Sus scrofa: one gene and its partners. The protein of the gene in region 6 purifies or fractionates together with the protein of the main gene of each other region. This does not show direct contact. Links are inferred from orthologs where the notes say so. Each region holds a gene or a part of one and is shown on either strand. Other genes may lie near its edges.

The links.
Region 1: the proteins of COPS6 (region 6) and DCAF8 purify together in Homo sapiens (affinity purification with mass spectrometry; 3 studies listed by BioGRID and IntAct, with this or other methods). This does not show direct contact. The link is inferred for Sus scrofa from reciprocal best matches to the Homo sapiens genes COPS6 and DCAF8.
Region 2: the proteins of COPS6 (region 6) and DCAF4 purify together in Homo sapiens (affinity purification with mass spectrometry; 4 studies listed by BioGRID and IntAct, counting the BioPlex papers as one, with this or other methods). This does not show direct contact. The link is inferred for Sus scrofa from reciprocal best matches to the Homo sapiens genes COPS6 and DCAF4.
Region 3: the proteins of COPS6 (region 6) and KLHL15 purify together in Homo sapiens (affinity purification with mass spectrometry; 3 studies listed by BioGRID and IntAct, with this or other methods). This does not show direct contact. The link is inferred for Sus scrofa from reciprocal best matches to the Homo sapiens genes COPS6 and KLHL15.
Region 4: the proteins of COPS6 (region 6) and RFWD2 purify together in Homo sapiens (affinity purification with western blotting; 3 studies listed by BioGRID and IntAct, with this or other methods). This does not show direct contact. The link is inferred for Sus scrofa from reciprocal best matches to the Homo sapiens genes COPS6 and COP1.
Region 5: the proteins of COPS6 (region 6) and KLHL42 purify together in Homo sapiens (affinity purification with mass spectrometry; 3 studies listed by BioGRID and IntAct, with this or other methods). This does not show direct contact. The link is inferred for Sus scrofa from reciprocal best matches to the Homo sapiens genes COPS6 and KLHL42.
Region 7: the proteins of COPS6 (region 6) and DDB2 purify together in Homo sapiens (affinity purification with mass spectrometry; 8 studies listed by BioGRID and IntAct, counting the BioPlex papers as one, with this or other methods). This does not show direct contact. The link is inferred for Sus scrofa from reciprocal best matches to the Homo sapiens genes COPS6 and DDB2.

Annotation. Positions count from the first base shown.
Region 1 is NC_010446.5:90,235,418-90,238,917, reverse strand, and holds part of DCAF8 (DDB1- and CUL4-associated factor 8), read right to left. Parts: intron 3,196-3,500; coding exon 2,525-3,195; intron 1,354-2,524; coding exon 1,213-1,353; intron 25-1,212; coding exon 1-24. UniProt on the Homo sapiens protein: May function as a substrate receptor for CUL4-DDB1 E3 ubiquitin-protein ligase complex.
Region 2 is NC_010449.5:96,312,760-96,316,259, reverse strand, and holds part of DCAF4 (DDB1- and CUL4-associated factor 4), read right to left. Parts: intron 2,780-3,500; coding exon 2,700-2,779; intron 1,377-2,699; coding exon 1,278-1,376; intron 1,157-1,277; coding exon 1,059-1,156; intron 218-1,058; coding exon 44-217; intron 1-43. UniProt on the Homo sapiens protein: May function as a substrate receptor for CUL4-DDB1 E3 ubiquitin-protein ligase complex.
Region 3 is NC_010461.5:20,112,591-20,116,090, forward strand, and holds part of KLHL15 (kelch-like protein 15), read right to left. Parts: intron 2,755-3,500; 5' UTR 2,748-2,754; coding exon 2,043-2,747; intron 1-2,042. UniProt on the Homo sapiens protein: Substrate-specific adapter for CUL3 E3 ubiquitin-protein ligase complex.
Region 4 is NC_010451.4:117,967,769-117,971,268, forward strand, and holds part of RFWD2 (E3 ubiquitin-protein ligase RFWD2), read right to left. Parts: intron 2,263-3,500; coding exon 2,145-2,262; intron 1-2,144. UniProt on the Homo sapiens protein: E3 ubiquitin-protein ligase that mediates ubiquitination and subsequent proteasomal degradation of target proteins.
Region 5 is NC_010447.5:45,937,888-45,941,387, forward strand, and holds part of KLHL42 (kelch-like protein 42), read right to left. Parts: intron 3,127-3,500; coding exon 2,933-3,126; intron 1-2,932. UniProt on the Homo sapiens protein: Substrate-specific adapter of a BCR (BTB-CUL3-RBX1) E3 ubiquitin-protein ligase complex required for mitotic progression and cytokinesis. The BCR(KLHL42) E3 ubiquitin ligase complex mediates the ubiquitination and subsequent degradation of KATNA1.
Region 6 is NC_010445.4:8,001,536-8,005,501, reverse strand, and holds the start of COPS6 (COP9 signalosome complex subunit 6), read right to left. Parts: upstream 2,801-3,966; 5' UTR 2,762-2,800; coding exon 2,698-2,761; intron 2,486-2,697; coding exon 2,360-2,485; intron 2,150-2,359; coding exon 2,018-2,149; intron 1,402-2,017; coding exon 1,313-1,401; intron 1,216-1,312; coding exon 1,153-1,215; intron 844-1,152; coding exon 796-843; intron 720-795; coding exon 605-719; intron 517-604; coding exon 424-516; intron 327-423; coding exon 226-326; intron 119-225; coding exon 1-118. UniProt on the Homo sapiens protein: Component of the COP9 signalosome complex (CSN), a complex involved in various cellular and developmental processes.
Region 7 is NC_010444.4:15,342,114-15,344,367, forward strand, and holds the end of DDB2 (DNA damage-binding protein 2), read right to left. Parts: intron 1,559-2,254; coding exon 1,394-1,558; intron 1,249-1,393; coding exon 1,144-1,248; 3' UTR 902-1,143; coding exon of another isoform or gene 852-901; 3' UTR 501-851; downstream 1-500.

The DNA of each region.
Region 1 (3,500 bases), on a different chromosome or scaffold from region 6:
GGGAGAGTCTGGTTCCAGGGCCAACTGAAAGAGAAAAAAGGAACAGTTGGAGTTCCCATCATGGTGCAACAGCAATGAATCTGACTAGGAACCATGAGGTGGTGGGTTCGATTCCTGGCCTTGCTCAGTGGGTTAAGGATCGGTGTTGCCGTGACTGTGGTGTAGGCCACAGATGTGGCTTGGATCCAGCATTGCTGGCAGCTGGGAACCTCCATATGCCACAGATGTGGCCCTAAAAAGCAAAAAAAAAAAGTCTCAGCCAGAGAAATGCCTACCTCTTTTGTTGTAAAATCCCAGGAAAGAAGATAATTTAATAAATTAATTCTTACTCTGTATGTGAATTATTTACAGCTTGTTTATTTTATACAAGGCAAAAGGACAGATGATTTTCTCTTTTAACTAAGTCCCCAAGGGATATATAAAGAGTGATACCAAAAGAAAACAATGACATTAGGGCTCATTCTCAAAATCAATTCCATATACTAGGGATGGGGGAGAAATGGCACCCAACTTTTATTCCTCGCATCTTAGTTCGAAAAATTAGTTATCTACTGTGTTGGGGGTAGTCTCAAGAATCAAATAGGTAATTTTCATATTTCCTGAGCCATGTGGGCAAGAAAAGCATACTCCAGGTCCACCTATATAGTTGCTTAGGGTTGTAAACAGAGGGGATCATCCTCCTTCCATGGCGTGAAAGAAAACAGTGCCTACTTGGAGATAAGGCAGTTGCTGGCTCCTCACTGGCTGCCATGACTATTTGGCCTATATTCCTGCTCTAAATAGGCTTCCAGAAATAGTGCTGTTTATGCACTGAGAGTTGTGAGCAGAAAAGTTGAAGCTCTCACATATGAGAAGTCAACAGCTAGCACCTTGGAGCTGTTAAAATGTTCTAAATACAGAGTAAATTTTAAAGGCTTGGAAGGCATTGGAGACCTCAAGGATCTCCAAATCAACTATGGCTCAGCTTGGGAGTCAGGTATCATCAGGTGAATGCTCCATGTGCAAGATATAGACATCTCTCAAATACATGCCTTCTGAGAAGTTTAGGGTAGCTGCTTTTTCTCCCATCTTACCTACAAATCTTAGGACTGAAAGAAGTGAGGCAGGTGACCCCAACAAAGGGACACAATGTACAGATACTGACTGGAGGGCCTTGGCGGAGACTCACAGAGAAGCGGAACTGCACAATCTTCGCAGACAGGGCTTACTTACTTTGTGGGATGCTCCCTTGTGCTGTGCCACACGCTTCGTATTCTTGCAGCACTGTGTAGCAGACAACTCTGCTACCCGAACCTGCCCATCACGGGCACACATGGCCAGGGTAGAATCACCACTGTTAGGAAGGAACTTGGCCTGGGATATTAAGAATAAAAGAAAGTACAAGAGAAATAAAAGCACATTTGAGAGGGAAAAGTGTGATGACCACCCCAAATCTCCCCCTGTTGCTGCACGATAGCTGGAAACTTAAGACCTCCTACTCTTTTATAATTGGCTCAAGTCCAATTTCGTCCAAGGGATAAAGGAGAGGAAGAGAAAAAAACTTCTGATATAAGAAAGCACTTCTGTTGATTCCAAAAGGTTGAACTGGTACAGGGTAAGTGCTCAGGTAAACTAAGACTATACCTACTAGGAAAGAAAAGGAAAAAAAGAGAAAAATCTTCCTTGATTCAGAAAGTAAACAAATTTTCTACAAAGAAAAAGGAAACTAGAGGGGATACTGGAGAAGGAAAGAAACCATGCTTAGGGATAAATAGCTAGACTATATGATAGATGGGGCTGATAAGTAAAACCTCCAGAGAATAACAATGTCAACTAATATTTATCAAATGTTTGTTAAGTACCAGACATGGTTCTAACTGCTTAGCTTCTATTGTTATTTAATCCTCATAACCCTCTTTTTTTTTTTTTTTTAAATGGCCACACCAGAGGCATAGGGAAGCTCCTGGGCCAAAAACTGAATCCAAGTCACAGCTGCAGCAATGCTGGATCCTTTAACCCACTGCATCATGTCAGGGTCCAAATCCGGGCCTCTGCAGGGACCCAAACTACTGCAGTAGGACTCTTCACCCTCTGTGCCAGAGCAGGAACTCCATCACAACCCTCTGTGTTATTAGCCCCATATTATATAGTTAAAGAAACTGAAGACAGAGATTAAATAAATGTACCCAAGATCACACCTCTAGTAAGGAGTTGGGCCAAGATTTAAACTCAAGTAGTCTGGCTCAAAAACCTCTGCTCTTACACTATATCCCTCCTAAGCAGGGCATTTAGTAACTTCCTAACGATTTCCAAGCACCCTATTATAATGAGGCTTGCAATACTCTATGTGCTCAAGGAAATAAAAGGCTGCCATGGGTCTTTCAGTGTATTTAGTTCCTCTAACTCATTATGGGGCCAAAGTAGGACCAAGCCCTGATATCTAATTCCTACCACAACTTGCTGCCACTCCTACTCCAGTTAGCAGCTCAGGTTTGTCTAACACATGCCTGATTTTCCCAACTGCCAATGTGCTCCCTTGCCTCACCTGGAAGACATTGCTTTTGTGGCCACTCTCAAAGTCCAATACTGGCTGTCGCCGCACCCAGTCCCAAACCACCACTTTCAGGTCATCGCTGCCACTGGCCAGCCAGGTGCCGCGCTGGTTAAAGTGCAGGGTATTAACACAACCAGTATGGCCCTCAAGCCCATGCTGCAGACGGAAACGCTGCACAAAGACTCTTGCCCCACAAGCCTCATACACAAAACGGGCACTTGAACCCAGCTCCCGCTCCCGAAGAGCAGGAAGGGCTTGCCAGCGAGGTCGGGGCAGGGCTGATGTCTCTGAGGCTACCCAGTCCTCCAGGGCTCGCTCATCGTCGGATGAGTCCTGATCACGATTGGCCCGCTTGCGCTGTACACGGCGACGAGGATGCTCTTCTTCCTCCTCTTCTTCCTCCTCCTCTTCCTCTGAGGGGTCATGGACTTGGTTTTCATCATTGATGGAGTAATGGCCAGTGTCCTCCATGCTGTCAGAGTCCTTGTCTTCACCTGAGCTCTCTGTATCCGTGCCTCGACTTTCTGTGCTGGTGCGATTGGGGCCACCATCATCCCCAGTCAAGCTCAAGCTCAGGTCTGAGGCCTCCACTTCAATGCCTGAGGATGTCTCTCTCCCTTCCTCAGCACCAGACATCTCCTCTGGACTGCTAGACAGGCTTCCTGCATGTTAGTGAGGAATGAGTAGATGGGGGGGGGGAAATAAGGAAATAAGATAATGATCAGAAGAATTTCCCCTCCTTAGTCAAAAATAATCATCACATCAAAAGACCCAGAAACCAATTTTGGTCAAAATGTTTCCATTACAAATATTTATAAAGAATAGCTTCTGGAATTCCCTTCATGGCTCAGCGGTTAACAAACCCAACTAAGAGCCATGAGGATACAGGTTCGATCCCTGGTGCTGCTCAGTGGGTTGAGGATCTGGCATTGCATGAGCTGTGGTGTAGGTCGAAGACACAGCTCAG
Region 2 (3,500 bases), on a different chromosome or scaffold from region 6:
AGAGCCAGCGGCAGTGGCTGCACAAAGTCAGTGGTACCCATACCGTTCCAGCCATGTCGGATGCCATCAGGCACTGCTCTTCTTGGAGGATCCGTACGGAGGTAACTGCTGAATCATGGAACAGGTGGGTGGCTTTCCAACCCTTGCCTTGATTTCGACAACGGAGATCAATGGCAAAGATTTCCCCGGAACGACAGCCATTAAACAGCAAAGGAGCCTGCAGAAAGAGGGACTGCTCGGTACCTGCCCCAAGGCTGGGAGAGGTGTGCCCTCCAGAATACAGCCCCTGCCTCCTCTCCAGCCCCTGGGTCACAGGTACAGGTGCAGACAAGCTGGTAGGGTTTGAGCCTCAGTGGTTGGAAGGGCTCCTTATGAAAGTTGTCAGAAAACTGGATGCTACCTGTTCTATTCCTCCAGTGTCCTCCCTGCTGGCTGCAACTGGTCCCTAAGGCCTCCCCTTGAACCCCTCCCTGTGAGGTGATGGTGCTCTGTCTCCTCCCAGGTCATCAGTGAGAAGCTGGGGGGTGAGTGTGGAGTAAGAGATGAGAGATCCAGGTAAGACCTGGGCGCCCCGAGAGAGTGGCAAGATGGCTCAAAACCCTGAATAATGAACTCTGTGCTTACTGCCCAAAGCAGGTCAGCACATCTTCTGCACTTTTAAAGAAAGATGGCATTTTCTACAGGTCAGGCTTTTGAAATGTAGTAATGACTAGAATTTTGACTTTTAAATTTCTAAAATGTGTACCTGACAGCTGCATATAAGAGTTATGAATTGAGACCTAAATTACTTGTCCTGTTGGCTAATCCAAGTTCTCAAGAATTGCTAACAATTCATTTAACTGAAAGCTGTTTCAAGTCAGCTGAGCCAGGCCTTTCTGGATCAGCCAAATTTCATTTCGTGCCGACCTGTTCTCCAAGTAACCCGTTGCTCCTTCTGATGCCCTCTCCTTCCCTGTGAAAGAGGGAGGAGGACCAGCGGCCCCTCGGCGCAATCCCACTGCAATCCAGCAAATGTCCACCTCTGGGGAACTGTATTATGCCCTCCCCCTCCAGCTAACCGTGAGGGCAAACTGCTGGGCCAAGACGTCACTGTTGGTCCCAAATGACTGCCGGTGTCCGGTCACCACGCTGGTCACCAGGACTCGCCGAGACAAGCCTGACGGAGGTGGAAAAGACAGACAGTGTCACCGGTGTTCTGGGGAGAGGGACTCTGGGCAGGGGCTTAGGGGCCCCGAGATCCTTCACCCTGGGCACCTGCGGGGGCAGCGGTGGCTCACCTGTACTAAAGCAGTTATTGGCCTGGATGTTCAGGGACCACGCACAGGACCAGGCCCCGGGGATCCGGAAGCTGCAGAGCATGCCAGGCCGGTCTCCGCCTGCGGAGGGAACAGGGAGTGTAAAACGTGGCTGACCTCCACGGCTGGACATCTGCCCTCCACACTGCCAGGCAGTGACCAGCAGGTGTGTGAAACCTCCAGGAACAGCTGCTCGGAGGGTCCATACCGTGGCCCCATTCTGGGTTTTGTGGCAGCAAAAAAGAGGCACTCAGGCCAGGTGCCTGGCTCAAAAATGGTTATTCTGAGAGTAATACATGAATCTTCCCTGACTTCCCAGCAGCAGTGTTAGAAATACTAACAGCTATCACGGAGGCTGTATGATGTCACAGATAAGAGGGTTTCAATTCTGGATCACACTATTAACTGTGTGAGCTCATGCAAACTCTTTTTTTGAATACGTTTTAATTGATAAAACGTACATCAAGGACACAAATCATGGTATACAGTTTAATGAATAATCTCAAAGTTAAGTACAGCCAGCCATGTGGCCACTACTCAGGTTAGAAAATGGAACATGCTAGTACCCTTCATGTCCTCTCCCAATTACTAGCCTTCCCACTACTCCTCATAGGAAGCCACCACCCTGACTTCCAATACCATCTCTTAGTTTTGTAAGGCAAATTCTGAACCTCTTTTGGCTTAGTTTCCTCATCTGTAAAATGGTAATAATATATACTCCTGCCTTACAAGCCTGCTTTATGATGAACTGCTAGGCACCAGGCTAAGTGTGCATTAAATCATTTAATCCCCCATATAACCTGAGGGTAGATGTTACTTTACAGAGGTTAGGCAATCTGTTCAAGCTGGTAAGGGGCAGAACTGGGATTCCTGCCAGGTCTGTCGGAAGCCTGCAGTCGTAGAGGCCTGATCCTTGTCTAATTGATCCTAATTCACGGAAAGACTGAAAACTTAATGTCCAGCATGCTGCCAGGCACCTGGACTGCCTTCGGCCAGACAGAACGTTAAGCATCCCCGACAGCACCTGCCATACTGTAGGAGCGTAACAGATGTTCTCGGGACGATCTGTGCAGGCAGCTCAAATAAATATTCTTATCTCATGTACTGGTAACATACACTTTTAACTGTTCTGGTTGCTAAAACGATCCCAAAGGAGGAAATAAGTGAAGATGCACATGCTTCTAGCACAAATCCTGGGTCAGGTTTAAGGAACCTCCCAGGTGCCCCTGCAGACTATCCCCAACCTCCCAGTGTGGCTTTGGGCTCACGTGGCCCACGGCTCCCACCCCTCCTGTCCATGTCAGCACCGCAGAGCTTAGGCTGGTAGCTGCAGGTCCTGAGAGGCAGAAGACAAAGATGACCCTCAGAACACCTCCTTATCCAAAGGAAAAGGACCCCCTGTACCTGGATGACTACTGACAAACAGTGACGCTGGGAGCAAGGTGGCACAGCCTGGAGTCTCTGCAATTCCCATGAGACACAGCCTGGAAAAGCTGTTAAGGATAGTCAAGTACAAGGCCGCCTCTGGGAGGAGAGTGGGCATCAGTACCTTCCAAAAAAACGTAAGAGTAATACCCATCACCCACATTTAACACGTTTACCTCTTCCATATTTAGTTTTGGATTTTTTTTTTTTTTTTTTTTTTTTTGGTTTTTTAAGGACCGCACCTGTGGCACATAGAGGTTCCCAGGCTAGGGGTCCAATTGGAGCTGTAGCTGCCAGCCTACGCCAGGGCCACAGCCACACGGGATCCTTAACCCACTGAGTGAGGCCAAGGATCAAACCCACGTCCTTATGGACTAGTCATATTTGTTTCTGCTGAACCATGATGGGAACTCCTGTTTTTTTTTTTTTTTTTTTTTAAGGCAGCAAACAACGTGAAAGATACAGTGAAAAGCCCCCCCCCCATTTTTTTGTCTTTTTGCCATTTCTTGGGCCACTCCCGCGGCATATGGAGGTTCCCAGGCTAGCGGTCTAATCAGAGCTGTAGCCACCGGCCTACACCACAGCCACCTCAATGTGGGATCTGAGCTGCCTCTGCAACCTACACCACAGCTCACAGCAATGCCGGATTGTTAACCCACTGAGCAAGGCCAGGGGTTAACCTCATGGTTCCTAGTCGGATTCATTAACCACTGTACCACGACGGGAACCCCAGAAAGGCCCCTTTTAACTTTATCCCACCCAGAGAGAATCGCTACTCTG
Region 3 (3,500 bases), on a different chromosome or scaffold from region 6:
GTTGCTGTGGCTCTGGCGTAGACTGGTGGCTACAGCTCCGATTTGACCCCTAGCCTGGGAACCTCCATGCGCCATGGGAAGTGGCCCTAGAAAAGGCAAAAAGACAAAAACAAACAAAACAAAACAAAAAAAAACTTGCAGATTTCACTGTGGCCAGGGCCTTACTTGGTTTTCCTAAGAGATTATTTAACTCAAGATGGAGGCCTTAATGACATTTTTATTCTGATGAAATTCCCAATACCTGGCCAATAAGTAATAACCACCTCCTATGTTATATATGCAAACAGAATCCATCAGAAGATACAACTGATGCTTTATATGATTTACAAAATTACTCCAAGGTGTTAACTTTCAGCCACTGTCACTACTGACCACCCTGAACTGATAGTTGGAAAATAAAAAGGCTCTCTAACTCAGCCCTTAAAAAATCACTTGCTGCTAACAATTATCTATCACGTTGTCCTACAAGAGGGAAAATTTTATTTTCTACTGCACAAATACTTCCATCTAGACTAAAGTTGGGAGGGAGGTTTGTTTTAGTAGTGGGGAAGCACTTGCATCTAACATATAAAGACAAAACAGGATTTCCCACACAATGAGAGCAATAAAAACAATATTAAGGAAAAAAATCAAAACCTAAGAGACAAATGATTTACATAGTTGATGAGGGGCTGACTATCACTGAACCAAAAATAATTAAGAAATGTATTCGCAGACGTGGCTCAGATCCTATGCTGCCATGGCTGTGGCGTAGGCTGGTAGCGGCAGCTCTGATTCAACCCCTGGCCTGGGAACTTCCATATGCTGTGGGTGCGGCCCTAAAAAGACCAAAAATATATATATATATATATTCTTTAGCTTAAATTATTTCTGCTCTATCAGTACATTCTGAGAATAAAGGATAAAATCCCACAAAATTTAGTTATCCATTAAAAGTATAAGTTAATGCTATTTCACAGCATTTCAGGAGGAAAAAAAAAGACATGCCAGGCGGCTGTTATCTGAAGGTGCAAATCTGTTTATTTTTCAAATGGTGTAAACAAACCTCCTTTGCAAACACTGTATTTTTATCACCAGGTCTGGTAACTAAAGCTGAGGAACTACCTCACCTGAAGGGTGTCGACCAAAGCTGTAAGTATGCTTTCTAGAAAGAAGAAAAGATGCAAGAGGTAAACAGAGCCCCAGAAATAACCATGTGATTAGAAACCAATTAAGTTAAGCAATTACTGAAACTGCTTTCTCCTCTTTGGGCAAGAAATGATCACAAGTGAGAGTCTGATATAAAAATGAAAAATGCTTATACGCAAAAAGGTCAAGGCAGTTTTGGAGAAAGACAATTTTAAGATAGCAGAACTATTACACGGTAAAATGTGCAAGGGGATGTTTGATCAATGTAGATAGGATTTATAGTCTGTTAAGAAATGCCAAAACAACGGTTTTAGACATAAACATGTTTTCATGGTTAAACTTAGTTAGTATTCACAGTGAAATGGTGGGGGTGGGGTGGGGAGATGGGAGAACTAGGTAAGAGAAGGGAAGAAAATAACCACCAGAGCCTGCTGGTTTTCAAGAGCTATTTTACATTTCCTTACTACATTTTAGAGGAATACGAAACTGTGTTAATGTTTTTCATTCAGAACTACGAAACTTCTCTCAACTCTAATTTCAGCATGTATCACTTAAATTAAAATTAATTTTTAAAAAGAGAGCTAGACTGACCCAGTTCAGATTTAATTACTCTGTGAAAAGAAAGAAAAGTTAAAGCAAACTTATAATATTTTGAATTAAATAATTATGCTTCAACTTTAAAAGTGCTTTTAAAATGAAACTACTCTACCACCTACCTGGTTCATCTTTTACCCATAAAATGTTTTAAAAAAACGTAAATGCACAACAAATTAGACTTCTTACACATAAACTATTCTTAAAAACTATTCATTCTCTTTTTGGCTCCTGACCAAGCCTGGGAATCTTATCTATAAAGACACACTGCCTTATTACCTAAATTGTGAGTACTGTCTATTGCTTTCAAATGCACTAACCTTCTCAAAAACACTGGATGGGGTCATCAAACAAAACCTGATGTTCTGAATGATGGTATCGGTATGTCTCCAGCGTCTTCTATCATGCCGCAGCCAAGACTGCACAGCCTCGTACAGCTCTATCTCTGGGAACCTGCTCAGATGATCATTATCCAAGTAAGACATGAGCTTCTCAAAGCTCAGATAAGACAGGAAGTCAGGCCTGGACATGAGTGGTACAAAGTTGTCTAGCAGAAAGGCGTCCAACTTCTCCCTGACTCCCTCGATGTTTACACCGAAATCATCTAAGAGTCTCATAATTTCTGCACAATTTTCTAAGCAGATTTTCGCTAATAGAAAAGAGCAGCAGAACTTCACCACTTCTATAAGCTGAACATACATGGCAGCCTGAAGAATCTCATGAACAGTACTCATACTCAGTTCTATAGTTCCATAATACATAAACTGAAGGACGTGACTGAAACCTGTAGCAGTAAGACCTTTTAAATGAATTTTGTCCTGATCTCGCTCTCTCATGTCTGCAGTAAACATAATTCTGAAGTAATCACTCTGGGTGGCCAAGAGTGCTTTATGGGCTTGGAACTGATGATCTTCAATAACCAGAGTGACATCAAGAAGCAATCCCTCCTCATACAGTGCTCTGAACCCAGCAGAGACACTGGTGTCATGGATGGAGGAACAGAATCCTTCCACGTCCCCTGCCATGAATCACCTGGAAAAAAAAGTAATCAAAGAAAACTGTGTTAATCATTTCCATGCATTCTGAAGACATTATTAACTTAGAACTTAATTTTTATAATTATCTCAATTCCACTGCCTAGTTCCTACATGTATAAACTATTTGGGAGAAAACAACTTAAAGGTTTGCAGGCTAATATTTTTAGCTTCGCTACCTGGGGAAAAAAAATCTATTAAATATCTACACAATAATGGTAAATTCTTAGTTTACAAATATATGCCTATCCCAGTGACTTTACATTGTTTATCAAATACATTTAAATATGTCCCCAAATTATCAACCAAAATAGATTTCCCAAATACTAAATGATGAGAAAAAGAGACAAAAAAGAAATTAAACCAAAAAGTACACTGTTGTCCTTGAAAACTCCTAGAAACTTGCCCAAAGGAAACAATCAGATAAATCTGTCAACTTGCACACACAAGAGTTTTCTTTCTAGCCTTATTTATAACAAAAAACTGGAAACTATTCAGAAGCCCAGTGACAGAAATAAATATGGCGCAGTCTTATAATGGATTACTGTAACAACTAAAAATGATGGCAGCAATCTACCTGCTTTGACAAAGGATATTTATCAGGTATGGTTATGTGGAAAAAAAGCGGACAACTGTACCATACTCAGTATGTTTTTAAAACTTAAATACACACATATATACTTAGATGAGGAAAAAGTCTAGAGGAATATATACCAAAATGATGTCTGAGTAGTGGGATTTCAG
Region 4 (3,500 bases), on a different chromosome or scaffold from region 6:
CCTATCATACAAAGACAGGATTTGAATAAAACACCATGTTTTTGTTTCCTGCTGAATTTCTGTTACAAAAGTAGGATCATACAACCTACATTATTTTGTCAAGAACGTCTTCCTCATTCAATAATTTATATTTTTTATGTAAAAGAAACATGTTTCTATATCTTTATTAATGATTACACAATAAATCATCTGTTCTCTTACTCTAACATTCATAGAATAGGGTAGACCATGCTAATGTTTTACATAGATTTATTTTATTCAAAGATTCACGACATAAGTAGTATTATTAGTTCCCCTTCAGAGGTGAGGAAATAGATTTGAAGGCTAAGGATAATTTCAGGGTATCACAGCTAGTAAATGGTAGAGCCAAGACTGAAACTGTCTTATTTCAGAAGCCAAACTTCAAACTCTAGGTACTTCTCTATTGCTTCTATTCACTTTCAACATACCATCTATTCCTAGGCATTTATGCTGTTTTAAATTGTCCATTGCTTAATAATATTGCATTGAAAATCCCTTTGTGTGTATTTATTGTCCAAGAATTCAGAGGTTGAAACAATATGTATATACTTTAATATTACTTTCCAGTATTTCCAAATGTACTTGTCTCAAATACTTATAAACATCAATTACGTCCAAGAGGTAAATCATCGTAATTTATAAAAACTAAGAAGGAAAAAAGACTAGTGAATATATAAACAACAAATCCACATTAAAAAGCTCAACTGAGATTTCCAATGTATATAATTAACTAGTTGAAATCAAACTAACTGATTCAACATTTATAAGTCTGAAATTTAAGAAAAATATTTTTGCCATATAATCTATCATTCACATTTGAATCTGAATAATATTTTAGTTATTTACTACCCATTATTATTTCTAAAGATGGGATACTTTTTGACTAGTTACTACTTACTTTAGAGTTGTGAACTAATTGCCTATATTAATTCCCCTTAGAAAGCTCAGCCTTTTCTTTTTTCTCCCTTTTTTGGTAACTCAATTCAAATGACCTCAACTCAAATTACCAAGTTCTTATTGAGAGCAACCCGCATGGTGGGCGGTCCCCACTATTAGGCACTGGCATTAATAATCTCCTAAGGGATATTAGAAACCACGTGAAAAAAAGAAAAAAGGAAAACAGTGTAAGATTAAGCTTGAGAAGAAAAAAGGAGATTTACTAGAAAAAAGAGAACAGTGAAATGGATGACAGAAAGAAGGGACTGTCTGTTAGTAGAAGAGCTTGGTCCACAGTATTTGAGCAATGAGATTTATTTATCTGGTTGTTATCTTGTTACTGCCAAACAAAATAAAAGACAACTAAAAGCTTATATTATGATTCCCTAGTTCAGAAGGCTTCTCGAAGGACATCTGTCAGGTGTAAGCAGTCATATTTAGAAAGTTCTTTTCAGAACATATTTAAAACTCACCATGAAATCAGAGGAAGATCAAGTAACATGGAAATGGAATAAAAAATGTCAACCAAGGAGTTCCCATTGTGGCTCAGCAGAAACCAATCTGACTAGTATCCATGAGGATGCAGGTTTAATCCCTCACCTTGCTCAGTGGGTTAAGGATCTGGTGTTGACGTGAGCTGTGGTATATTTCACAGATGTGGCTCAGATCTGGTGTGGCTGTGGCTGTGGCATAGGCCAGTGGCTACAGCTCAGATTTGACCCCTAGCCTGGGAACCTCCATATGCCATTGGGTGCGGCCCTAAAAAGACAAAAAAAAAAAAAAAAAAGTCAACCAAATATTGCTTAAAAGCAAAAATACTACTACCCTATTGCAATGTAGATTAATGTATAATAACCTATTAGTAGACTTTAATAAATAAAACACTTCTCATTCTATTGCATCAACTATATTGTTTCTCTTTTTATAAGGAAAGGCTGAAATCTAATCTGAGGTTCAAATGTTTAAGGGGGCAACACTAAAAATAGTATTATCAAGATTTTATTCACAAATAACACAGAAGTGAGCAATACAGACGCAAATATACATATGCTCTCATTACACAAGTTACAAAAACCTACTATTTAAGAAGAAGTGCATGCACCACAGTGTTGTTACTCTTTACAAAACCCATGGCGGGTGACGTTACAAACACGTTAAGCTCAACTTCTGAAAAGAGTAATACTCACGCAGACACAATTTCCTCACCGCTCACAAACTTTGCGTAAGAGACTGCTTTTCGGTGTCCTTTGAATACCATGATTGGCTGTTTAGTGTTACGAAGATCATAGTAGTGAACACAGTGATCTACAACAAAGCAAAACAAAAGAAAACAAAAAGGGAAAAACGCAGTATATGAAAAAATGGTTTTGATATTTTTCATCAAATGTTTCAGAGACAATGTCAAATCTATAATGGCCAGACAACTGAAGGCAATGACTCATTTTCAAAGATAAGAAGATGTAGTAGGTTTTCTGTTTTGAACCCAGGACAATACAGTTGTATAAAAAAGTATATACACGTACGCTCATGTCAGTCTGAAAGGGAGTTTCACTGATATTTCTTGAGATCCTGGCTCTAGAAAGAGTATTAAGGGTTTAAAGAAACTGAAAGTTTTTAAATATATCCTTATATTTTGATGGCTTTATAAAAGAAAACATTTTGGACTTCTGATTAAACAATATGTTAATAATTTTATTTCTCACATTTGCCTTCTAAAATACATTTTCTTCGTGTTTCTGCTGTGGTGCATTGGGCTAAAAATCTGACCACAGTGGCTCAGGTCGCTGTGGAGATGTGGGTTTGCTCCTCACAGTGGGTTAAAAGCACCTGGCATTGCTGCAGCTGTGGTGTAGATTGCAACTGCAGCTTATATTCAATCCCTGGCCTGAGAATTTCCATGGGTGCAGCCATAAAATTAAAAGAAAAAAAAAAAAACTTAGAAGAAAACCTTTGCAACTTTGGGTTAAGTATAAGATATATTTTCTTGAGATACACTTTACATATAATAAAAATCAACTTAAAGCATACAGTTCAGTGATTTTTAGCAACTTAACCCAGTGTTGCAACCAACACCATAAATTAGTTTTAGAACATTTTCCTCATCTCAATAAAATTTCTCATGCCCACTTACCACCCACCATCCTAGGCTGTATTTTACCTCTGTAAATTCATCTTTTCTGGACTTTTCACATAAATGGAATTATATAATGTATAGCTTCTTACACTTTACATAATGTTTTTGTAGTCCAAATTTTAACATGGGTCAGCAGTTTATTCTTTTCTCCTGCTGAATAGTATATAATAAGTAGATATACCACATTTTGTCTAGTTTAGGGATACTGTTTTCCATTTTTTCAGTTATCGTGAATAATGCTGCTATGAACAATCATGTTCAAACCTTTGTGTGGACATTGATTTAGGTCTCAGGTTGATACCTCGAAAATGTAATTACTGTGTCATGTGATAATTTTGCGTTTAACTTTTTAAGAAACTGACAAACTGTTGACTGCACCATTTTACCCCACCAGCAATATATAATGGTT
Region 5 (3,500 bases), on a different chromosome or scaffold from region 6:
TCTTCCTTACGAAATTTTTAGAAGTCTCACTTAAGAAGTCAGCAGGCTTTGAACCCAACTTCCAGTCCTGAATTTTCTTTTTTTTCTTTTGTTGTGACAAGGATGATTTCTTGTCCTGAAGACAAAGAACTATTAGGAAGAGCCCCAGCAGAGGAGGAGGGAACTTCAGACAAGTAACTGTCCTCCTGCCCCCGCATCATAGAAAACTGGTTTCCAGCCTTTACACAAACAGTCATCCATCCACATTGCCTAACCGTCCCATTGTGGGGACTTGGCTTGGGGAAACCAAGATGGGACTCACTGTGGGTGGTCCAAGGGAAGATGGTACATGAGTCGTGGCTTGTGAAACTTGAAAACACACATGCCAGGGTTTTCCAGGTCAAATCTAAAGAACATTTGCTCAGCTGGGGTCATGGAAAAACTAGGAAATCTACTAGCAAAACTGGTCTTTGGGCTGCAGGGCAGCTGTCAGTGCTTCCCGGCTCCTGGTTGGAAGAGAAGCCAAGGGGTGTGTGTGTGTATTGGGTCAGCCCACAGCGGCGTGTGCTGTGTCACAAAATCTAGGGAGGAATCAGAATTCTTAGAAATGTTCAAAAGCAAATAACTGTATTTACTTTCCTCGGAGAGAAGACACACAGATACACACAGAGGTACATGTTCACACAGGAATTCTCTGGGGTCTATGGTTAAGTCTATAACATTGACCACTGTAACCCAAACACCAATGCTAAAGGTAAAAGAAATGATGGCTAGGACATCTTTCTACAATTATTCATAAAGGAAAATCCAGTCATTATCTTATCATCAGTGGAGAGTCACTGCGGACATTGGGAATAGCTCCACAGATGATGAAAACGTGGAGTGAAAAGAAAAACCTCACTGCTTCCCAGGTACCCCTCTTTGTCATAGCCTCTCCCTAAATGCGAAAGTCAACATACCACCTGTAGGGAGTTGAATGGTGGCCCCTCAAAAGATAGGTCCACTTTCTAACCCCCAGAAACTTCGGATGTGACCTTATTTGGAAGAAGGGTCTTTGGAGATGTACTTAAGGATCTCAAGATGAGATCACCCTGGATTCCCCAGGTGGGCTCCAGACCCAGTGATATGCATCCCGATAAGAGACAGAAGAGGAAAGGACACAGATACACATGGAGAAGGCATGAGGAGATGGAGGCAGGAGCTGGGCAGCCTCTAGCCAAAGAACTCCGGGAGCCTCCAAACCTGGGAAGAGACAGGAAAGATTCTCCCCTAGAGTCTGCAGGGGGAGCGTGACCTGCCAACACCCACTGTAATTCTGGCCTCTGGACTCCTGAACTTAAACAACAAAATCTAAAAGATCTAAAAGAGCGTGCCTTTCTCTTGCTTTAGGCCACCTCATTTATGGTCATTTCTTAGGTCTGCCACAGGAAACTAAGACACCATCTACCACTGTCCCCACCAAAGCAACTGTTTAGAGGTACGCTAAGAAGTATTCATGAGTATCTTTTGCTGTCATGGGAAAAAAAAAAAGTGCATCAGATGCTCGTAAAATATCTTACATTTAACTTCTTCCTCTAACATACATCCCCCAAACAAGACACATTTTGGTTTCGGTGAAAAGAATTTTTGCACCTACACTACACTATTATGATGTGGATTTCTGGTCTTTCCAAAGTTATAAAGGGTTGAATGGAGCCTAATGGGGCCATCAACATCATTTCTCCACGCCTGTTATCAGCCAAGGAGGGGGGAGGACTGTCTTGCCCACAGGTCATTTCACTACATCAAATATAATGGTAACTCTTCTACTGCAATGTAGCTAAAAGTCCTAACAGTCCAGTTATGCCTCTTCTATAACTTCTGAGCATTATATAGTCAGACAGAAAATAAACTGCCTTGACCACGAGAAAACCCGGACACCACTGCTTTAAGTGGGGGAAGAGATAAGAGGAAAGGCACATCTATTCTTGGTGGCCCATCATGGTCTTGATTACTGTTGATAATAGAAAACCAAGCTGTGGAGTTCCCACTGTGGCTCAGTGGGTTAAGAACCCGACTAGTACCCATGAGGATGTGAGTTCAATCCCTGGCCTCACTAAGTAGGCTAAGGATCCAGCATTGCTACAAGCTGTGGTGTAAGTCAAAGACACGGCTCGGATCCTGCATTGCTGTGGCTGTGGTATACACTAGCAACTGTAGCTCTGATCCACCCTAGCCTGAGAACTTCCATATGCCATAGGCAGAGCCATAAAAAGGAAAAAAAAAAAAGTAGAAAGAAAACCAAGTTGTGATATGCTTCCTACCAGGACCCACAGTATAAAATCTGCTAGAGAAACTTCATTTTCAAATGACTAACTATAAAATGTCCCCCCCCCAAAAGCGAAAAACATATACATATGGTTTAACAGAAATACAACCACCTCCGAGAGCTGGTCAGGAAGAAATTCTCTTATGTTCACGTTCTTGCTCCGTCTACTGTGTGCGAATGAAAGCTGAGGCCTGAATTTCTGGGATCTGTATCCTATATGTTTGTGCTCAGATACAAGGGAGAGAGTGAAAACAAAGACCTCCAAGGATGCTCTGGCGCCAAGTTCCATAGTGCTGGACAGGGCGGATTCAGGCTACATCTGGGAGAAGTACGGAGTTATATGGCCTGAGTCAGGAGATGCCTGACGGCGGGGTTTCCAGAGCAGGAAGAGAGTACACGTTTTCTTCACAGCTCCCCCATCCCCCATTCAGTTTTCATGCTCATGCAAAGGCATCAAAGGCCCCTCCTGCCCAGACCACCCCTGCCATACAGGACGCTCTTCCTTCCAGACATGTAAATGCAGTGTACTTAATCAATGAAATCACACTGCTGAACACCAGAGCATTTCCTGCAGCCCCTCCTGCCCTCCCCGAGGCTGCCAAAGCTCACCTGTAGGAAGACCACCTACGAGTCCCCTTCACTTACCTCTGGTGGTATATCCTCCGATGACATAAATTTTCCCCTGACACTCACAGGCAGAGAACTCAGCCAGAGGGTTTGGTAAGGGTGCCATGAAATTCCACGCATCCTGCTCAGGGTTATAACACTCAACGTTAGAAACGGCCTGCCCGCCAATGGCATAGAGTTTTGAATTTACAGCCACGAGTTTGAAGTTAGACCTGAAAGAGAGACACAAAGGCCCAAGAAATCAGTTCTTTTGGATCATTAATTGGAAGACAACGGCATGACCTGCTAAAGCAGTGTGTGGAATCTGCTGGGTATTTGCAGAAAATAAGCTCTCCGAGCTGGGGGCTCTTCTGCCTGGGGACAGAGGGATGACCCCATTGCATCTCACATTTCACTCTTATCACCAAGAATCCGCAAGAACAGTGCAGTATCCAAACTTCAGCTATCGAAGATGAGCAATTCAATATACCAAGAACTAATCTCGCTTAGCTTAAGCTAAGAACCAAAGACACTCTGTAGATGTTAAACTCAGTCAATAGCTCTTTCAGGAGGGGGAGCAAGCCCCCACCCCACTCCCTCGTCTCCA
Region 6 (3,966 bases):
GCCTGCCGATGCCTTGTCGGTCATAGAGGACGTTGAACTTGTTCACGAACTGGTTCATGGTATTGCACGTTTTGGTGATGGTGCCTAGGTAGGCCATGAGTCCCACGTCATTGCATTGCTGCAAGGAAACAAAGAACCAGTTTCCCAGGGGCTCTGGCTCCAATGTCCTGCATGCAGAAATGGTGGCATGAGCCCCACCCTCCTGATCCTGGGCTTTATACTCACATCATAAAAGTCTGTCTTGAACTTATCAGTGCTGAGCACTGGGAGGCAGTGACACAGAGCATAAGCCTCCCGCAGGATCTCATGGTTAAAGGGGACCTCTCCTAAAGGCACAGCAAAGGGCTGCATTAATGTGATACTGTTGCTTCCCCAGGAAGGAGAGAAAAAGTGGTTCAAGTGTCAGGGGGACACCTGTCCTACCTGCTTCAGAGGCCTTGACATACTCCAAGATGAGCTTGACGCGGCTGTGCAGCATCTTGATGGCGCTGTGCTGCGCAATCAGGTGTTCCGCCACTACACAGGGTCAGGCCAAGGCTGAGAAGGCATGGGGCCAACACGTCCCACCCCCCGCTGCGAAGGAAACCCCTCCAGCCTGCATTACCAGTGGAGTTCTCTCCGCTGCCTGTTGCTGTCATTCGGGCCACATGATCTACACCAATGCGTTCAGCCTCCTCTGTGGCCAGGGTATAGGTCAGCTCAGCAAAAAGCATCGTGGCCTACAGGGCACAGAGAGAGAGTCAAAAGCAGGAAACACCGGGAGCAGGGTCTGAGAGTTGAAGGGTATGGCATTACCTCTCCATTGATGATATCTATAACAGACTCAAAGACGCTGACCGGAAGCTGTAAAGAGGAGATGGGCGAAGAGCTCTTAGTAACAGCACACGTACCTGAAGGGCCCCAAACCAGGCTTGGCCCTTTCGCATTCCGTTTTTCTATGTCCCCAAGTTACAAGTAGGAATTATCCCATTTTAGTACATGGGGGAAATGCAGTTTAGAGGTTAAATGACACCCAAAGTCTCAGCTGGTAAAGAGAAGGGAGAGTCAATTCAACAGAGGCGATACAGTAAAAAACAGGATGAGAATTAAAATCTGGGTAGGCATAGCAATGGACAAGCAGGACAAAGTAGCCACGGGCTCAGTATTACTCACATCTGTGTGCTTAGTCATAGGGTTCAACTTAAGAAACAAAGGGCTCTCAATTATCTCGCACACCTGGAAGAGGGGGCAGATGCACCTGAGTGCCAGGGCCCATTTTTCTCCCGCTCATCCTCTGTCCTCCGCCCCAACGTGCAAACGGAAGTGTGTATACCTGCTTATGGACGTGGATATCAGAGGGGTCAGGCGGTCCCCCTGTGGTATACCAACCCAGAAACTCCAGCTCCTTGAACACCTGTTTAACTGAGGAGGAAAGGGCCAGAGCACAGAGTATTTTTTTTTTTTTTTTAAATATCGCTTCTTTAATTTGAAGCTCCTGGTGGATTTTAACCAGCTTCTCCCCATCCCATCCCGGCTCAGTTTAGAGTAAGTCATCTCTTCTATCTTCTCCTTACTTTGTGGGAAGTAACCAAATATGTTCTTTTTTTTTTTTTTTTTTGGTCTTTTTTCCATTTCTAGGGCCGCTCCCGCAGCACATGGAGGTTCCCAGGCTAGGGGTCCAATTGGAGCTGTGTCCGTCGGCCTACACCACAGCCACAGCAATGCAGGATCCGAGCTGCACCTGCGACCTACACCACTGTTCATGGCAACACTGGATCCTTAACCCATTGAACAAGGCCAGGGATCGAACCCGCAACCTCATGGTTCCTAGTCGGATTCGTTAACCACTGAGCCACGACGGGAACTCCCAAATATGTTCTTTTTTAAAGATCTCTACAGCTACCTTCTCGTCACTTGGCCTCCATTCTGCTCATCTCCTGTTTATTTTTTTCCCCCCAACCCTCTCCACCTTCCCTATTCTGATTTTCTTTCTTTTTTTAACTCCCACTCCTCTCCCCCACCTCTATTCCCCTCTCACACTGCTCCTCCTTGGTGTAATAATATTCCTTGTCAATGATAATCTTCTCTTCCACGGTGTGGGACAGCAGCTCAAAGGAGTTCATCACCTCGATATTTCGGCCCTCCTGCTTCCCGATCAGAGCCCCAATCACTGGAGGAGAGGACACAAGAGGTGAGGGTAAAGAATCCTGAAACTTAGTTAAATCAGTATAGCCTGAGGGTCTGAGGTCAAGTGAACCCAGTACTAGGGAAACGGGTGGTTTGCGGCGGAAGAATTGGCTTCAGCAAAGGAAAGGGAAGGACCACCGTTTGGGGGAGATGACCAGGAAAAGAAGGCCAGAGAATTACGCCGAACACTCACCCTGCATAGGCCGCCCCTCCTGGGAGCGCATGCGAATCCAATGGTCTGAGATGTTGAGAATGACGAGGGGGTGAAGGGCGACTGAAACACTGCCAGTCACTCCGGAGGCCATCACGCTGGGGACGACTAAGCAGTTGGAAGAGAGGGTGAGAGTCCGGGTCCCACGTTCCCCCCGGGAGATGGGAGGGGAAGCCAGCAGAGCCGGGCCATACATCCCTCCCGCAAGTTATCCCAGGGAACGCGCCGCTGACCCGCCCTCCCGACTTCCCCGGGAGTCCAGGAAGGCCTTGACGCGCCCCAAGGGCGTCTCCAGAAGCCGCTCCCTCCCGGTCGGTTACCTGCTGCATCCACCTCCATCCCGCTGCTCCCTCCGGTCCCGTTCGCCGCAGCCGCCGCCGCCATTTCCCCCGCGCCCGCCAGTGTCGGCCCCGCCCCCTCCCTGCCGGCTTCCGTAGGCAGCAGCGCATGCTCAGTGCGGCCGTGGCGCGCGCCTGCCCAGACCCGCGCAGGCAGCCCTGGGTCGGGGAGAGCCGGCAGGTCTTAGTAGCCCTCTCGCCTGCCTCTGACCTTGAACAACTTACTTAACCGCACCCTGATCGTCCTAAAGTATACTGGGATTAGACTGCCTACTTTGTAAGGCTGCTGCAGCATGAATGAAACTTCATGTTGTTGCCCTCAGAGTAAAAGCCACACTCCTAACCACCTGCAAGACCCTGTAAGATCAGACCCCTGCCCGCCAGCCAGCCCTGGCCTCTGCTTTTCTGCCCTTTGATCGCCGTGCTTCAGCCACATTGGCTCTCGTGTCTGTTCCTTGCACACGTCTCACTCATCCCCACCGAAGGGCGTTCTGTCGCCTTTATCACTGTAACACGTGATCAAAACTACCTGACATATGGGCACCTAAATGATTTCTTTTTCGGGCCGCATTCACAGCATGCAGGAGTACTCGCACCAGGGACGGAACTCACGCCACAGCTGTAATCAGAGCCACAAAAGTTCAAATCCCGCTGAGCCACAGGGGAACTCCATAAATGATTTTTGAGTGAATGAATGGTTTGCCAGTGGAGCCTGGTCCTGAGTGCCTTGGTCTACACATCCTTTCTTTCCTCCTTCCACCTCATTACCTACAGCACTGAGAACATCCCTGGCATTTTCTAACCCCTCCCAACTTCCCTCTACCCTCCGTCTCCGTTAGTCTTTCAAAACTCACTTCTGGGAGTTCCCGTTGTGGTCAGCAGGTTAAGAACCCAACTAGTATCAATGAGGATGTGGGTTCGATACCTGGACTTGCTCAGTGGGTTAAGGATACAACGTTGCCACAAGCTGCAACAGAGGTCACGGATTGGGCTCAGATCTGACATTGGCTGTGGCATAGGCCAGCAGCTGCAGCTCGGATTCGACCCCTTGCTTGGGAACTTCCATATGCCAAGGGTGCGGCCCTAAAAAGAAAAAACAAAAAACCACCTCCGGCAAACCTAGCCCACTCCAGCCCTCTCCCCACCCCTACACCCGAGCAAGTTGTGTACACTGCCTTTACCCTGTCTTGTCGCCCCTACAATTTGGCTGGTTCTTTAGGTGTGTCTGTAACACACCCAAGTGTTAGCTCC
Region 7 (2,254 bases), on a different chromosome or scaffold from region 6:
GAATCTTTGGCCAGTGGCCCAGAGGACACAATTTTGCCCCTCAGTGTTTGTTTTAGTGGGAAAAACTGCATGGTATTGGGGGTACAAACATTGGCCATCAAGGGACCAGGTCACCCAGGCATCAGCCGGCCAAGTTTTCCTTTGTCCAGCTGAAGCCACAATTAGGGCAGACATAATGCTTCCAGCATCTTTGTCACCCCTGCACCCTGAGCAGTTTGGATGTCTGGACTTGGGAGAGATGGGGGAAAGCGGGGAGCACAATGAATTGTGGTACAGAATCATGGAATTACTATCCCTCTCAGCTGGGCTAGGACCTCCAGGGACCCAGGGTAAATGCACGCTGTGAGCTGAACAGCTCTTGACTGTGGCCCAGAATAGGGCTGAGACAGCTTCCAGAGAATGAAGGTTTTTGGACTCAGTGCCATTTCTGTGCCTTTTCTTCATCTGGGGGACCTGAGACGCCTTTTGACCAAGTCAGTGCTGGAAGATCCACTCCAAAACTCAGTTGGGTATGGTTTTATTGGCCATGTGAATAGTGAGCACACATCAAAAACTACTACCTGACCCTCTGGCACTGCGTGTCAGAGAAGAAAAAGAGAAGCTTGGCTCCAGGAGCTTGGCTCCAGGCTAGATACAACAGGGACCCTCAGAGCAGCTGGGTCGCCAACTCTGGAGAAGTTTCTGGAGCTAAGTCCAGAGCAGTACATGCCAGTGTTCCAGTCCCAGTGCCCCTGCTTCAGCCCTAACACTTGGATACCTTTGGCCCTTCAACACAAAGCCGCCTCTTCTCGAAGAACTTGTTCTCATATGGCTCCAAGCCCTTGCTTGGCCCCCACCTCCATAAATGTCTCTCATTTCCGCATCCCAGCTTCCTCCTGGCTCCAAATGAGAATGTGATAACCTAGGAGGAGTGAAACCAATCTGACTTGCACCTTCCATTATCACCCTCCGAGAACTTGGGGCTGGCCCGAGGAACCTAAGACTTGGTAGGGAGATACCAGGAAACTAGACAGCAGCCGAGCATTGCTGTGACCAAGGCAAAGCAAGAGGGATGAAGGGCCTAGGCCAAAGAGACCACTGTCTCCTGGTTATCTTCTTTGCTGTCTACAACCCTGGGGTGAAGGCAGTGGGGCTGGGCTGAGGTTAACCTGCACAGAACCTAGGGGAGTAGGGTGGGCTTGACCAGCCTGAGACACACTCACCCATCACAGAGGCCAGCGTGTCCCCCATGAGATTGAACTCATTGAGCTGCAGAGACAAGGGGGTAAGCATGAGAAGGGCGTGAAGGTACTGGGAGAAGGGCACATGAGGACTAATTTCTGGTCCTTTTTGGTCAGTAAGGTAGGTTGGGTCCCTGCTTTCTCCCACTATTATTTAAGGGCCCAAGCCTCACCGACATGATACCAGAGGATTCTGGGTCATACAGCTGATACATCATCTTTCCTGAGCTTCCATCAAACACATCGATTGTTCTTAATTCGTGAGGGGTACAACTTTTGAAATTAGGATCTGGGTATCGGCCCACGACAATGAGGTTGTACCGAGGATGCCAGGTTGCCTAGGAGATGAAGAGGCTGGTCACAAGAGTAAGTGCAGAATACTATCAAGAGGGACATCGAAAGTAATCTTTACCACCACCACCATTAATACAACTGCCAACCATTTAATAACGAAGAGAAGACCTACATGAAACGACAAAAACAGTTTGCAAGTGCGCGTGCATCTACCACTGCAAACCTGAAATCCCCAGCCCGCCTCCCTGACCCTTAGGACACCTTCAGGCCTTCTCTCTCTTTTGCATTTCCTGAGATCATACCAGCTGATAAATGTTTTAACATCAGCCCCACCCAGACATTAACCAGAGAGGTGAGCCTATATATAACAACAAAGCGAAAAGCCTCGGGAAACCAAAACCAAATAGGACGTACGTTCTGAGGTCATCACACTGTTCTCCCACCTCCATCGGCCTGAATAGTGAGCTGAGTAGAAAATGGCTAGTGGCTGAGAAGGGGGAGGATACCTGTGTTCCCCAGATCACCCTGCTCAAAACAAGTCTGGCAGTTACTACAATGACAGAACCCGATGGGGTTTTCCCCAGAAAGCGTTACGAGGAAGTTTTGAAGGAGAAAAGACGTGGTTGGTAGGAAGAAAGGAAGAAGTAGTACAAACAATGGCTTGGAAAGGACTCACACCTGGGATGCTCTCTGTTGGCCTGGCTGGATACCAAGTGGGAGATGAGGACGGAGGATCCGTG